Xenopus tropicalis: one gene and its partners. The protein of the gene in region 3 purifies or fractionates together with the protein of the main gene of each other region. This does not show direct contact. Links are inferred from orthologs where the notes say so. Each region holds a gene or a part of one and is shown on either strand. Other genes may lie near its edges.

Region 1 (3,752 bases), on a different chromosome or scaffold from region 3:
GAATGATCCCACAGAAACATTTAAATAAATAAAACAATTAACATACTATAGTACAAATATCTTAGTATACAAAATATATATACAAATACTACAGAAGGCTTTTGCATCAGAAAATTACACATGCATAGGATAATCTGCACAGACTGGCTACAGAAATATAAAATACACTAAAATACTAACATCAGCAGGCAATAGTTTAATTTACATGAAAGTTGGCAATAAAATGGGAAGCTGGATGGGTCAGATTCAAATAATTCTAAAAGGTGGCCATACACGTAGCAATTCCAATCTTTCTTGCGACCATTGTTCGCACAAAAGATCGTTCCTACCGTCCAACCCTGAACGTAGATTTTGCTCGGGAGCCTTCAATAGCGCCCGATCAAAATCTTCTAACCTGGCCGATCGACGAGTTGACCGATATCTGCAGCCTTCTGCGATATCAGTTGCCTCTTCGAGACAGCAGTCATAGAAGTCTCTAGAGATGCACCTACAAAATTGCATAAAAACATGAGCTTTACATAAATTGCAAAAGTTGCAGTTTGCAAAGTTACTCAGTTTACACAGGTTTCAAAAGAAGTTTCCTAGGCATGGAATTTTGTTCCCTTTAATATACAATTAGGGTAGACTCCATCCTATTGTTTTTATTTTCATTTTGCAGAACAAAACAAAACAAAAAAAACAAAACATTTACAGATTTGTTTAGCACTTAGGTTGGGTACAATTGTTTACGTCATATCCACAGTGACACTGAGCAAAGGAAAGGTATGTAGCACTGGGTTATGGGGGTGTACCCCGGGTTATACATAGAGTTCAATCATCTGGTAGGGGTATATGAGAGTTCACACCTAACCATAGTTTCTGAAAATTCCCAGGTACACCCCGAGCATTGTGTATCAGTTTGATCAGGTGTAGTGTACTATTTATTAGTTAAACCCACTGTAGAAGAATTGGGGTCCATCTATTTCATGATCACCAACTTTTTTTTTGCATAGAACATAACAGAGCGTAGTAGTGTTCTAGATTTGTGTAAGGGCACTGTTTCATCGATTATACCCAATAAACAGGTCCTAGGAAATCTGATTCCAGGAAAGGATAAACATACATTAACGTAGCGGGTGACTTCTGTCCAGTATAGTGCTACCTCGGGGCATTCCCACATCAGGTGAAGGAATTTCCATCCTACTGTTGGCTTATAAACTATAAAAAAGGTGTAACGGAGCCTTTACATATGAATTGTCTGTACAAAGAAGGTCGTAGCTGTTAAAGGCATGTTGTTCATTTTATGCATATTTTTTTTTATATAATTAACAATGCCCAGCATTCATGACAGCACCAATCGAATTTCACATTTAAGTCTACTAGGGGTGCAGGGAACCATAAATTACAACTGATCCTAGTTTATAAGTAAATGTAATGAAACTATTGTATTCTAAACTTCTTAAATGTCTACTATTTACTATACAGAGAAGGCCCTAAATGTGACATTTCTGTTGTAATTGCCCTCTAGAACAATAGCACAGGTTATTTTGACAATTTTCCCTAACCATACATTTTAGTAGCCCAAACACACAGCACCAAACACCTGAAACAGCCCTCAGAGCTGCCATGTTTTTCAGTTAGAATTGACAGAAAAGTTACCTCTGGCTTCCAGGCTATTCTCATGGCAATAGAGACCTAAGTGTCTAAATATTATTCTTGTACTATGCTGGATGCCTACACAGGTCTGTTGGCTGTCAGTTTGTGGGTGCTAGAATGTGTGGCTTAAAACAACCATGAGGAGATGCTCACAAATGCAAATATAAAGAAACATAGATATACAGGCACCAACACACACACATATATATAGATACATACATACACACACACACACACACACACACACACACTTATATAAGAGACAAACACACACACACACACACACAAACACATATATACATACACATACGTATATAAGAGACAAACACACACACGCAGACATATACACGTATAAATGTACGCTACAATAAGACACAAACGCCTGAAAATAAAAACAGAACCACAACATAGGATAGTACCTATCCTCCCCCATCAAAAAACCCCAACACACCCCACTATTTCAAAGGAAAACAACAGTGTAGAAACTAGTGCTCTCATGAGGTCTATTAGGTAAATAAGCCGCGACTCACCCGCTTCGGCACCCTGCCTTCTCCCCCAACTCCAGCCCGAGGACTGGGACCCCGACCGATCACCTCAACGAGTTCACCCACTCTTTCTTGTACAGAGAACTTTATTACACTCCCCTCAAAGCAGCGGCTGAAAGCTGCACTGACTGCGCGGCACCAGCGTCAACAAATACTCTGCGTCGGAAGTACAGGCAGAACGTGGGCCTCCTTCTCCGCCATATTTGTCTCGGGCAAAAGTACCTTTGATCTACGTCATTTCTTACGTGTGGTAAAGGTTGCTTAGTTACCGTGTGTTATAAGCGAGTTTGTTGCGCTAAATAATATTGTAATTATTTATAGTATTTAAGGCAGCTGTGCCCTTGTTTTACAATTGTTGCAAAAGGCTTGTAGGGCAGTACTGAAGGAACAATACTTACCAATGAATTGACAGCTCTTGGCTGGCGTGAGTTCGTAATAGGGATGCCACCTTTGCCCTCAATAAAAAATGTACAAGATGATGATGATGACATTGGAGGGCAGAGCGGTGACAAGAGGGCTGTGGGGCCATGATATTTGGGGGCGTTTGTGCCTTTGTAGGGGCAGGGCCTTAACCTTGGTTAAGGTGGTTATTGGCAGCAGGGCCGCTATCAGGAAGTAGGGCCCCCCATGAACATGAAAGTGCAAAGTACAACATTTTTTGACCACGCCCCCTTTAGTGTGCACTATAACCAGCTCACTACCTTGAGATTACAGGATTTTTTTTTTCAAACCGAGGGAACTCCCCAAATCCTAGGCTGAACCCTCTGTCTTTATTCTGTGTGTATTTCACTTCCCATAAAGTCTCTTATGTTCTGGCACTTCCCACTGATTGGCAGATCTGTTCCTATTTGCCCGTCCGCATTGACGCGGTGATTGGCCAATAGGCGAATGCTGCATCATAACCCCACCCCGTGACATCACTGCCCCAACTCTTCCCTGCCCCATGACATCATAGCCCCACCTCTTCCCGCCCCCTGCCTGGTGAGGAAAGCTGGCAGAGGTGGCAACCCAACCCCCCTGGCTTGTACAATAAGTGCGGGACGGCCAGGCCCCCCTAAGATCCTAAAAATCCACGGGGCCCAGGACAGTTTCCCCCCTGTCCCCCCCTGATGGCGGCCCTGTTGGCTAGATTATTGCAGCACTATCAACCCCAGATGCTCCTCTGTAGGGGAGATCCTGTGGTGCACATAAATTGTTGACGATACATGCCCTTCTGAATGTGCATATGCTTTCTATGACATCACCGAATGCTTACTGCGCATGTGCTCCCGGAATTTTAAGAAAAACTTTGTTAGAATGTGCAAAAATCAGGGAAATGCCATTGGGTGCTGGGAGACCAGGGAAGAGAAGCCAAAATGGGGTAACTTGAAAAAATAGTAGAGTTGACAGCTCTGTTATTGTTTGGGTTTCACACGGTTAAAACCTAAACAGCCAGTTGTGATCCAAACAGCCCTAAGAAAACCTGAACTGTTCAGGTCAAAACCAAACAGGTGGCAACCCTAAAGTAACACAAAGGGACCCATTCATTAAAGCAAGATGACCACGATTAGAAAAAATTTGTATTTAGAACTT
Region 2 (3,752 bases), on a different chromosome or scaffold from region 3:
GCCCCCTTGATGGACTCTTGTCATGTCTGCCTAGGCCCCTATTTTGTTTATGATCTAATCATTCACCAACAACCAGTGGTGTAGACAAGGGCTCATGGGTCGAAATTTGCATCAAGGCGCTACCACTGCATGGGACCCCCTTCCCCCATGCCATTAGATTGGCTTCCGTGGACTATGGCCACAGAGTTTCAGGTCCCCCCTCAGTACTCACCAGGGTAGTAGGCCCCAGATCAGTCACACCCGTAGCTCCCTTAGTAGCTACACCACTAGGGACAAACCAGTCTGATGTGGACCATAATGCAGGTATCCAAGTTGGACAGCTTACCATACAAGTGGATCTTGTCATCTGTGCCCCATTTTTCAGCCCAGTATGATTGGTTAGGAGCAAATTGTTCTCGAGCAAAACCAGGCAGCCTATGAGGCCCTTAACAGACCACCATTCTGCCTCCAGCTATACTACGCTGATAATATTTTGGTTAATATGTAAGAGTTATGCCAGTGAGTGCTCCAAACAAAACTATAAATGCCCTATCACTATAATCAGGGTATCCAACCAGAGACCCCCTCCCCCAGCTGCTGACAGTGTTGGAAATGCTGGAAATTTTGGATCATTAATTTCCAGAGAGACCTAATGTCTAAACATCTCTAATAGCAAAAGAGCAATAAGGCACCTGTTAATGACATAGGATCTTTAGTTCAAATGACTTCATTAAAGTACATTCCTGGAAGAGAGGAACTAGAGTAATATGTAATTAGTGCTACATTTCCTGCAACCTCTTACCTATTAAAGAAGTGTAACAATAATGATAATATGTAGACAGCCTCCAGCTATTGGCAGGGCCAGAGATAAAGATGAAGGCACCCCGGGCAATAAACCAAAGCGGGTGCACTAACATGAGGGAAGCAGACTGTGTTTATTAGGGATGTCCTGTCTGTGCCCTTAGCCTGAGATTATAGAAGCTGAACTACAACTCCCAGCATCCTGGCTTCTACCTGTTGTATTAAAACAACCTGAGGGGCCATGGGACAGACATCACTCACAGGAATTTGCTGGACACTGTGCAATAGTGATAGAGACATAATCTGCACAAGGGATGCTCCAGGCTCTCCCCTAGCCTAGCAGGGGCTGTTAGGAAGGATGCATTGGCACTCACCCGGTCCGCACACCCTGCTGTAATGGTAGGGGTTGCAGCACACACTGTTATTCTCCGAGCCCCCGGCTCCCTGGCACCCACACAAGGCTTTCAGTTGCCCGGGATGCTGCAGCTCTGGCCAGCGGAAGAGTCTGCACAAGAGCAGGTGAGGGGGGGGCCCGTGTCGGGTCACACACACACACCCTCCGGGCGCTGCACCCCGGGACTCCACGGCCTCCAGCAGGGCGCACAGGGCTTGCTCTTTCAGTCGCTTCAGGATCGCAGAAGCAGCGGCGCGGAGCTCCGGGGAGCCAGAGGGCTGCTCCGACAGACCGCAGCAAGAGACACCTCCATCCCCGCCCGCCCGGCTCCTCCACAGGCGCCGAACCAGCCCGGTGCGTCTGGACCTGAACATGCGGCGCGCCCCCGAGGGTGCGCCCGGCTCTCCGGTGCCTCAGTGCCCGGGGCCAACTAGAAGGGTCGGCATGGGGGAAGAGCGCTCTCTCCTGTGCCAGTCTCTCCGGTGCCCGCACGGATAGAGAGTCAGTCGGCTGGGCACGTATTGGGGTGTCCCCCTCCCGGGTCACATCTCGGAAGGCTGCTTCTCCAGACGGAACCCCCACGGCTGTCACATGGCGGTACTCACGGCACAGGGCATCCAGCAGGGGCACGGAGACTGGGCGCAGCGGGATGCTCCGGAGAAGGATGCTGAACGCTGGATAGAGCGGGGCTGCGGGGTATTTGCACGGCTCTAGCCCTTACACTCCCGGGGATTGCAGCCTACTGCAGCCGGGCTTGTGGCGCTCTCACACACTGCACATTGCTGCTACCGTCCCGCACAGGCTTCCTTTCTCTATCGGCTTGCACTGCGCACACTTCCTAGTAGGCTCCCCGCTCCGGTCCCCTGGGTTCCTCTCAGCTTCCCCGATAGCAGTAGGCGCTTCACTCTGTTGCTCCGGTCCCTGCACACACTGATCCCTGCTCTTTGTGCTCACCCTCTCTCACTCACTCGGGCCCACTGAAAGCATTCCCATTGGCTGTTCCCTGTCACATGGCAGTCTAGACACTTTGGCGGCTCCGCTGCACTGACTGTTGCGCAAACAAATCTCAAGTTTCTTAACTCTTAAAGGAGCCACAGTCCTTTCCCAATTCTTAAAATTGCCCTATTACCTTCACAAACGTCCCACACTTTTTACCAAATACATTTTTTTAAAGCAGTGCTTTTATTTGGTGCTGAGCAGATAATCGCTGGGTCATTTACTTATTATAACTAGATGCTTGGGGTTTCCATCATTTCACCCCAGGGCAGAGATGCTCACCTTGTGGCACACTAGCTGCTGTTGAACTACAACAATGGCTGTATGGGGTGCTGTACATTCTATTGGACCGGTACATGGAGTCTCCTGCCCTTTTACTTTCATTTCTTAATATGTATTTGTTAGCGATGGATGATACAGAACCAAAAAAACTAAATACAAAAAAGCAGATGAGAATGTATGTGGAAAACAATGAATATCAGCAAATATATAGAAAGTGAGAAATATGTTCTCCTTGCACCCTGAAGCTCAGCTCTTTGCACTTCTAGAATAGAGCAAAGTGAGTAGTGTTTTTTCACTATAGGGCTAAGACAGGAGCTACTTGTAGCAGATACAAAAATACACAATGCTGTCAATTTACTGATAATTGTCTCTGTGTATTTTAGCAAAGGCAATTCTCAGTATTGTCTATGGCAGGGTATTTTCTGGTGTTTTGTAGCTGTGACAAGTAGCTGCTACTAAGTAGCTCCAAGTGTCTAAAGGTCCCCATACACGGGCAGATTGTAGCTGCCGATATCGGTCCCTTGGACCGATTCGGCAGCTTATCTGCCCATTTAGGGGCAGAAACGAGGGGCCTGGCCGACCGATATCTGGCCTGAAATTGGCCAGATCTCGATCGGCCAGGTTAGAAAATTCAGTTGGATCAGGGACCGTATTGGCCCGTTGATGCGGTCCCCGAACCGACTGCCCCTTGCCGCCAGTATAATTCGATCGTTTGGCCCCGATATGACATCCCACCGGTGAGAATATAAATCGCTGGTGGGATGGCATACATTGCCTTAAGAGGAACCTTCCGCGATTTTAGGGAAATCGCAGCACCGCGTATGCCATCCCACCGGCTATTTACATTCTCATATCGGGGCTGTGGCACACGGGGAGATTAGTCGCCAGTGACAAATCTTCCTTGTCATGGGCAACTAATCTCCACATGTGCCACAGCCCTAAGGGCGAAGACACATGGGCAATTAGGGACTTAACTTCCATAGGCAACAATCAGCACGACTAATGGCGCAACAATTTGCGCTAATTTGTCACCATGACAAGTAGCAGCAACTAATCGCCCCATGTGTCTTCACCCTTTGGCTAATGCCACACAAAGTCTATGGCGCATGTTTTTGGCAAGCAGAAAAAACACTTGCCGAGAATACACATAAAACTCCCCCTACCTGTGCCTGCACCTGAATGAATTGAATATGCTCAGCTGCAGGCACGTCGCCAATATCTGCATAAAAACGCAAGAAACTGCAAAGTCTCATGTTTTTATGCAGATATCGGCAACAAGTTTCTGCACCCGAGCGTATTC
Region 3 (3,652 bases):
AAATTCTTGAAAACCATCCAAATGTTTGCATTGGCTCATGCAAAAACAATAAATACAATATTTCCCTAATCACAGCTGTTTATTCTCAATATATCACACAGAATCAGCTTGACTCTTCCATTGTCTTCTAGAATACAGTTACAATTCCATAATAAACAGCAGAAGAAGAAAAATAAATGTATCTTGCCTTGGTATTCGGGGATCATGCCATGTGCTGACACCAGTTTGTGTGTGCAAGAAATACACCTGCCCTTGAACCGTAGTTCTTTGTTCTACAAAAAGAAGCAAATACATCAAAATATTGTTAAATATATTAAGAATTTTATGTTAAGTGTTTATGTTTAATGAACACATGAAATTATTGAGTCAAACATTTAAAATAGTTCCTTACCACATGTATTGGTTACAGCAGAAGGTTCTCTCTTCACTTTTGGGCATCTTACTAGAAACTATTTTCTACTGCTTTTTGGTGTAAAATATTTTATATACCTTTATAAATACTTGCCATACAGCAAAAATTGTTACCTGTTTTCATCTGACCAAAAACACATTTACCTCTAGGTTTAAAAGTGGTTTTAGAAGTAGACTGCAGTCACAATATTGGAGAGTAGCTAATGGTCAGTTTACAAGATGCTTTGAACACAGTATAACTAAACAAGGAACCCCATCTTGAAAATGTCCACGCACATAAGGTGCTTTTTAAATACTGAAAAGATCTACCTTACTAAATAAGGAAACAATTCCTTACCATAACCTTCAGGCAAGTCCTGTGACTGGTACCCATGGGATCGATTTAAAGGTGTCTGGACATGCTCTCTAACTTCTGGTCCACGAAGTCTCTGTGCTTGGAGTCTCTGTTCTTGACCTGGCGATTCTACTAGCCTACAGGGCCCTCCTCCAGCTGCACCTGGTCCATCAGTATAAGGGGCTGGCTCATCCATGAAACAACTAAGGGGCCTGCCAGGCCCAGCATCTTCATAAAGTGCTCTGAATATATATGAAATACAATACATTACAGGATATAGGCAAGGAAACATGCTGCAGATTGGATGGTTTAGACTGAGGCACAGTCAAAACATTCCAAGTCAAAAGCAGAAACTGGGGGAAGGGGGAGTATCCATTTAAGGCAAACTATGGAAATATTACCATATCTTAAATAATGGTTTATATCTGTCACATTTAATAGTCATTATTTTCTATTACTTTTTTGTATTTGCTTGAGTGCTTTATGCTTTAATCTCTAATATTTTTTACTGACAGACTCTAAATTAGAAATATTAAAATGCCAACATTAGTAATGTGTGAATCTGTCCAGTTTGGTTTGCAAAAAGTTTGCAAAGCTGCTGAAAAATTAGTGAAACAGCAAAGAATTCTACTATGTGAGCAATTTTTTTTGACGTGTGCAAAAAATGTCCTCATCGCTAGCTAACACCAACATCTGGTTAAAACTCAAATATTAAAAAACATTAAAAGGTTTTAGAAAAATGCCTAATGTACGTTTCACCAGAACTTTATCAAAGGCAAAAAAAATTTGCTTTGATAAAGCTCTGGCAAAACATGCGTCAGGCATTTTTCAAAAACCTTTTAATCTCTTAAACTAGACGCTGAGGTAGCAATTTAGGGTAACAGTAGGAGTCTGAGTGTGCTATGGCCTTTTAACTGGCTAATTTGCCTTTTTTTTTTTTGTTTCATTCCAAGAATCTTATCTAATCTTTATCTCTAAGGTACCCAGGGTTTGTGTGTTTTATAGGTTAAGGGCTCTGGTACACGGGGAGATTAGTCGCCCACGGCAAAACTCCCTGCTCGCGGGCGACTAATCTCCCCGAGTTGCCTTCCCTCTGCCATCCCACCGGCGAACATGTAAGTCGCCGGCGGGATGGCAGACGCGGCGGCGCGATTTCGCGCAAATCGCCGAAAAAGACTCGCGAGTCTTTTTCGGCGATTTCCCGAAATCGCGCCGCCGCGTCTGCCATCCCGCCGGCGACTTACATGTTCGCCGGTGGGATGGCAGAGGGAAGGCAACTCGGGGAGATTAGTCACCCGCAAGCAGGGAGTTTTGCCGCGGGCGACTAATCTCCCCGTGTACCAGAGCCCTAACTTAGCCTCTCCAATTGAGATATAGGAAAGGTACATTTGAGACCACAGCCCTGGGTGCCTGACTTCTCCAGCTTTGTGGTATCCCTACGGATTAGTTAGCAAAAATTGAGCGTTTTCTCTGGGATATCTCCACCCTTCCATTCATTACCTTTTCCAAGTGCTTATTAGTTTTCTAATTGAATTTTAAGGGGTTTTTTTTTTTGGTTTTTTTTTAATGGGGGGGTGTGATTAATCTCAGCACAAGTGACCTAGTTGTCAATTGAGTTGGTTACAATACCACTAGTGATTTTATAGCTACCTTTACCACGTGTCACTTTAATTATATTGGGAACATGCAATTAGTAGAATTTGGTGAAATTTGCTCACGTACATTTTATTTAGAGAAGTTAATAGTCGAATAGACTTTTATAGGGTGTTTGTTCTTGTTGTAGTTCAAGTGCATCCCTGTTAGGTATTCTGAAATCTGAATAATTTAAGTTTTCTTCCTCTATACTATTGATATAAAGACAACTTTATTTACAGCACTTGTCACTTTAATAAAATTGGGGGGCGGCATTAATGGATACTATTGCATTAGTATAACAAAAAGCACTAGCATTTTGTTTGGAAAAGTAACCTTAAGTGATCAGGAGAGGTACTTTTTTCCTTTAAGAAAAGTAAATTGGATAGACCTTGGAAGGGTTGTCTTCTCTTTCCTCTTAAGGGCTCTGGCACACAGGGAGATTAGTTGCCCGCAACAAATCTCCCTGTTCGTGGGCGACTAATCTCCCCGAAATCCCACCAGCAAAATGTAAATCGCCGGTGGGATGGCATACGGAGCGCAATTTCAGTGAAATTGCGGAAGTTGCCTTGAGAGGAAACTAATCACCCCATGTGCCAGAGCCCTAACTTGTTATAGGTCAAAAACAACCTCACAAGGTCATCTGGTTCTTAAAATTTAAATAGATAAATCTTAGTAGGTAAAAACTTTTTTCCTTATCAGGAATAAGATAAAAGACATGGTTTGCCTTTAATTTCTCCCCAAAAGGAGATATACGCTTTGTATACTGTATAGAGTTGTTGTTTAAAAGAAAATATATTTTCTTTGTTTGGAGAATCTTGCTGTTGGGTTTTGGATGCTGAAGTGTTTGGAAGGTATGGTAAAAACAAAAACACACTCCATTCCACCTACCCAGCTCATATAATTAGAAGATTGTCCTCTGAAAAGGTATTTAATTGTAATGAGCAAGTCAAAGAGCAGGAAGGCTGCCTGTTTGTGGAAAAAACAACCAGTGTGGCTAATGGTGAAGGAAAGTGTGATTAAACCAGGATATTAAGCAATTCACTGAAGAACTGTCAGTCTGAGTAAGTCAGGGGTGACTTGTTTTGCTTTTAATCCACATAGGACCCATTGTATAGAGGTAACTCAGCAAGTGCGCAGGTAGCACCTAGGGGGCAGAGATATATTTATAATTTAGGTGTTGTGTATATGCTGTTAGGAACCTGTGTGAACTGAATTTAAACATATGTAACTTGCAAGCAGTTTCAGGCAGTTTGCAGGGTCTGTCATTAATGG

Evidence for each region. The genes of interacting proteins can lie anywhere in the genome.
Region 1: the proteins of smurf1 (region 3) and stk38 purify together in Homo sapiens (affinity purification with western blotting; 3 studies listed by BioGRID, with this or other methods). This does not show direct contact. The link is inferred for Xenopus tropicalis from reciprocal best matches to the Homo sapiens genes SMURF1 and STK38.
Region 2: the proteins of smurf1 (region 3) and smad6 purify together in Homo sapiens (affinity purification with western blotting; 4 studies listed by BioGRID). This does not show direct contact. The link is inferred for Xenopus tropicalis from reciprocal best matches to the Homo sapiens genes SMURF1 and SMAD6.

What each region holds. Positions count from the first base shown.
Region 1 is NC_030678.2:53,265,755-53,269,506, reverse strand, and holds the start of stk38 (serine/threonine-protein kinase 38), read right to left. Parts: upstream 2,680-3,752; 5' UTR 2,672-2,679; coding exon 2,579-2,671; intron 2,369-2,578; exon of another isoform or gene 2,166-2,368; intron 488-2,165; exon of another isoform or gene 395-487; intron 1-394. UniProt on the Homo sapiens protein: Serine/threonine-protein kinase that acts as a negative regulator of MAP3K1/2 signaling. Converts MAP3K2 from its phosphorylated form to its non-phosphorylated form and inhibits autophosphorylation of MAP3K2.
Region 2 is NC_030679.2:117,261,662-117,265,413, reverse strand, and holds the start of smad6 (mothers against decapentaplegic homolog 6), read right to left. Parts: upstream 2,217-3,752; 5' UTR 1,549-2,216; coding exon 1,155-1,548; intron 1-1,154. UniProt on the Homo sapiens protein: Transforming growth factor-beta superfamily receptors signaling occurs through the Smad family of intracellular mediators. SMAD6 is an inhibitory Smad (i-Smad) that negatively regulates signaling downstream of type I transforming growth factor-beta.
Region 3 is NC_030685.2:47,073,109-47,076,760, forward strand, and holds part of smurf1 (E3 ubiquitin-protein ligase SMURF1), read right to left. Parts: intron 988-3,652; coding exon 749-987; intron 273-748; coding exon 188-272; intron 1-187. UniProt on the Homo sapiens protein: E3 ubiquitin-protein ligase that acts as a negative regulator of BMP signaling pathway. Mediates ubiquitination and degradation of SMAD1 and SMAD5, 2 receptor-regulated SMADs specific for the BMP pathway.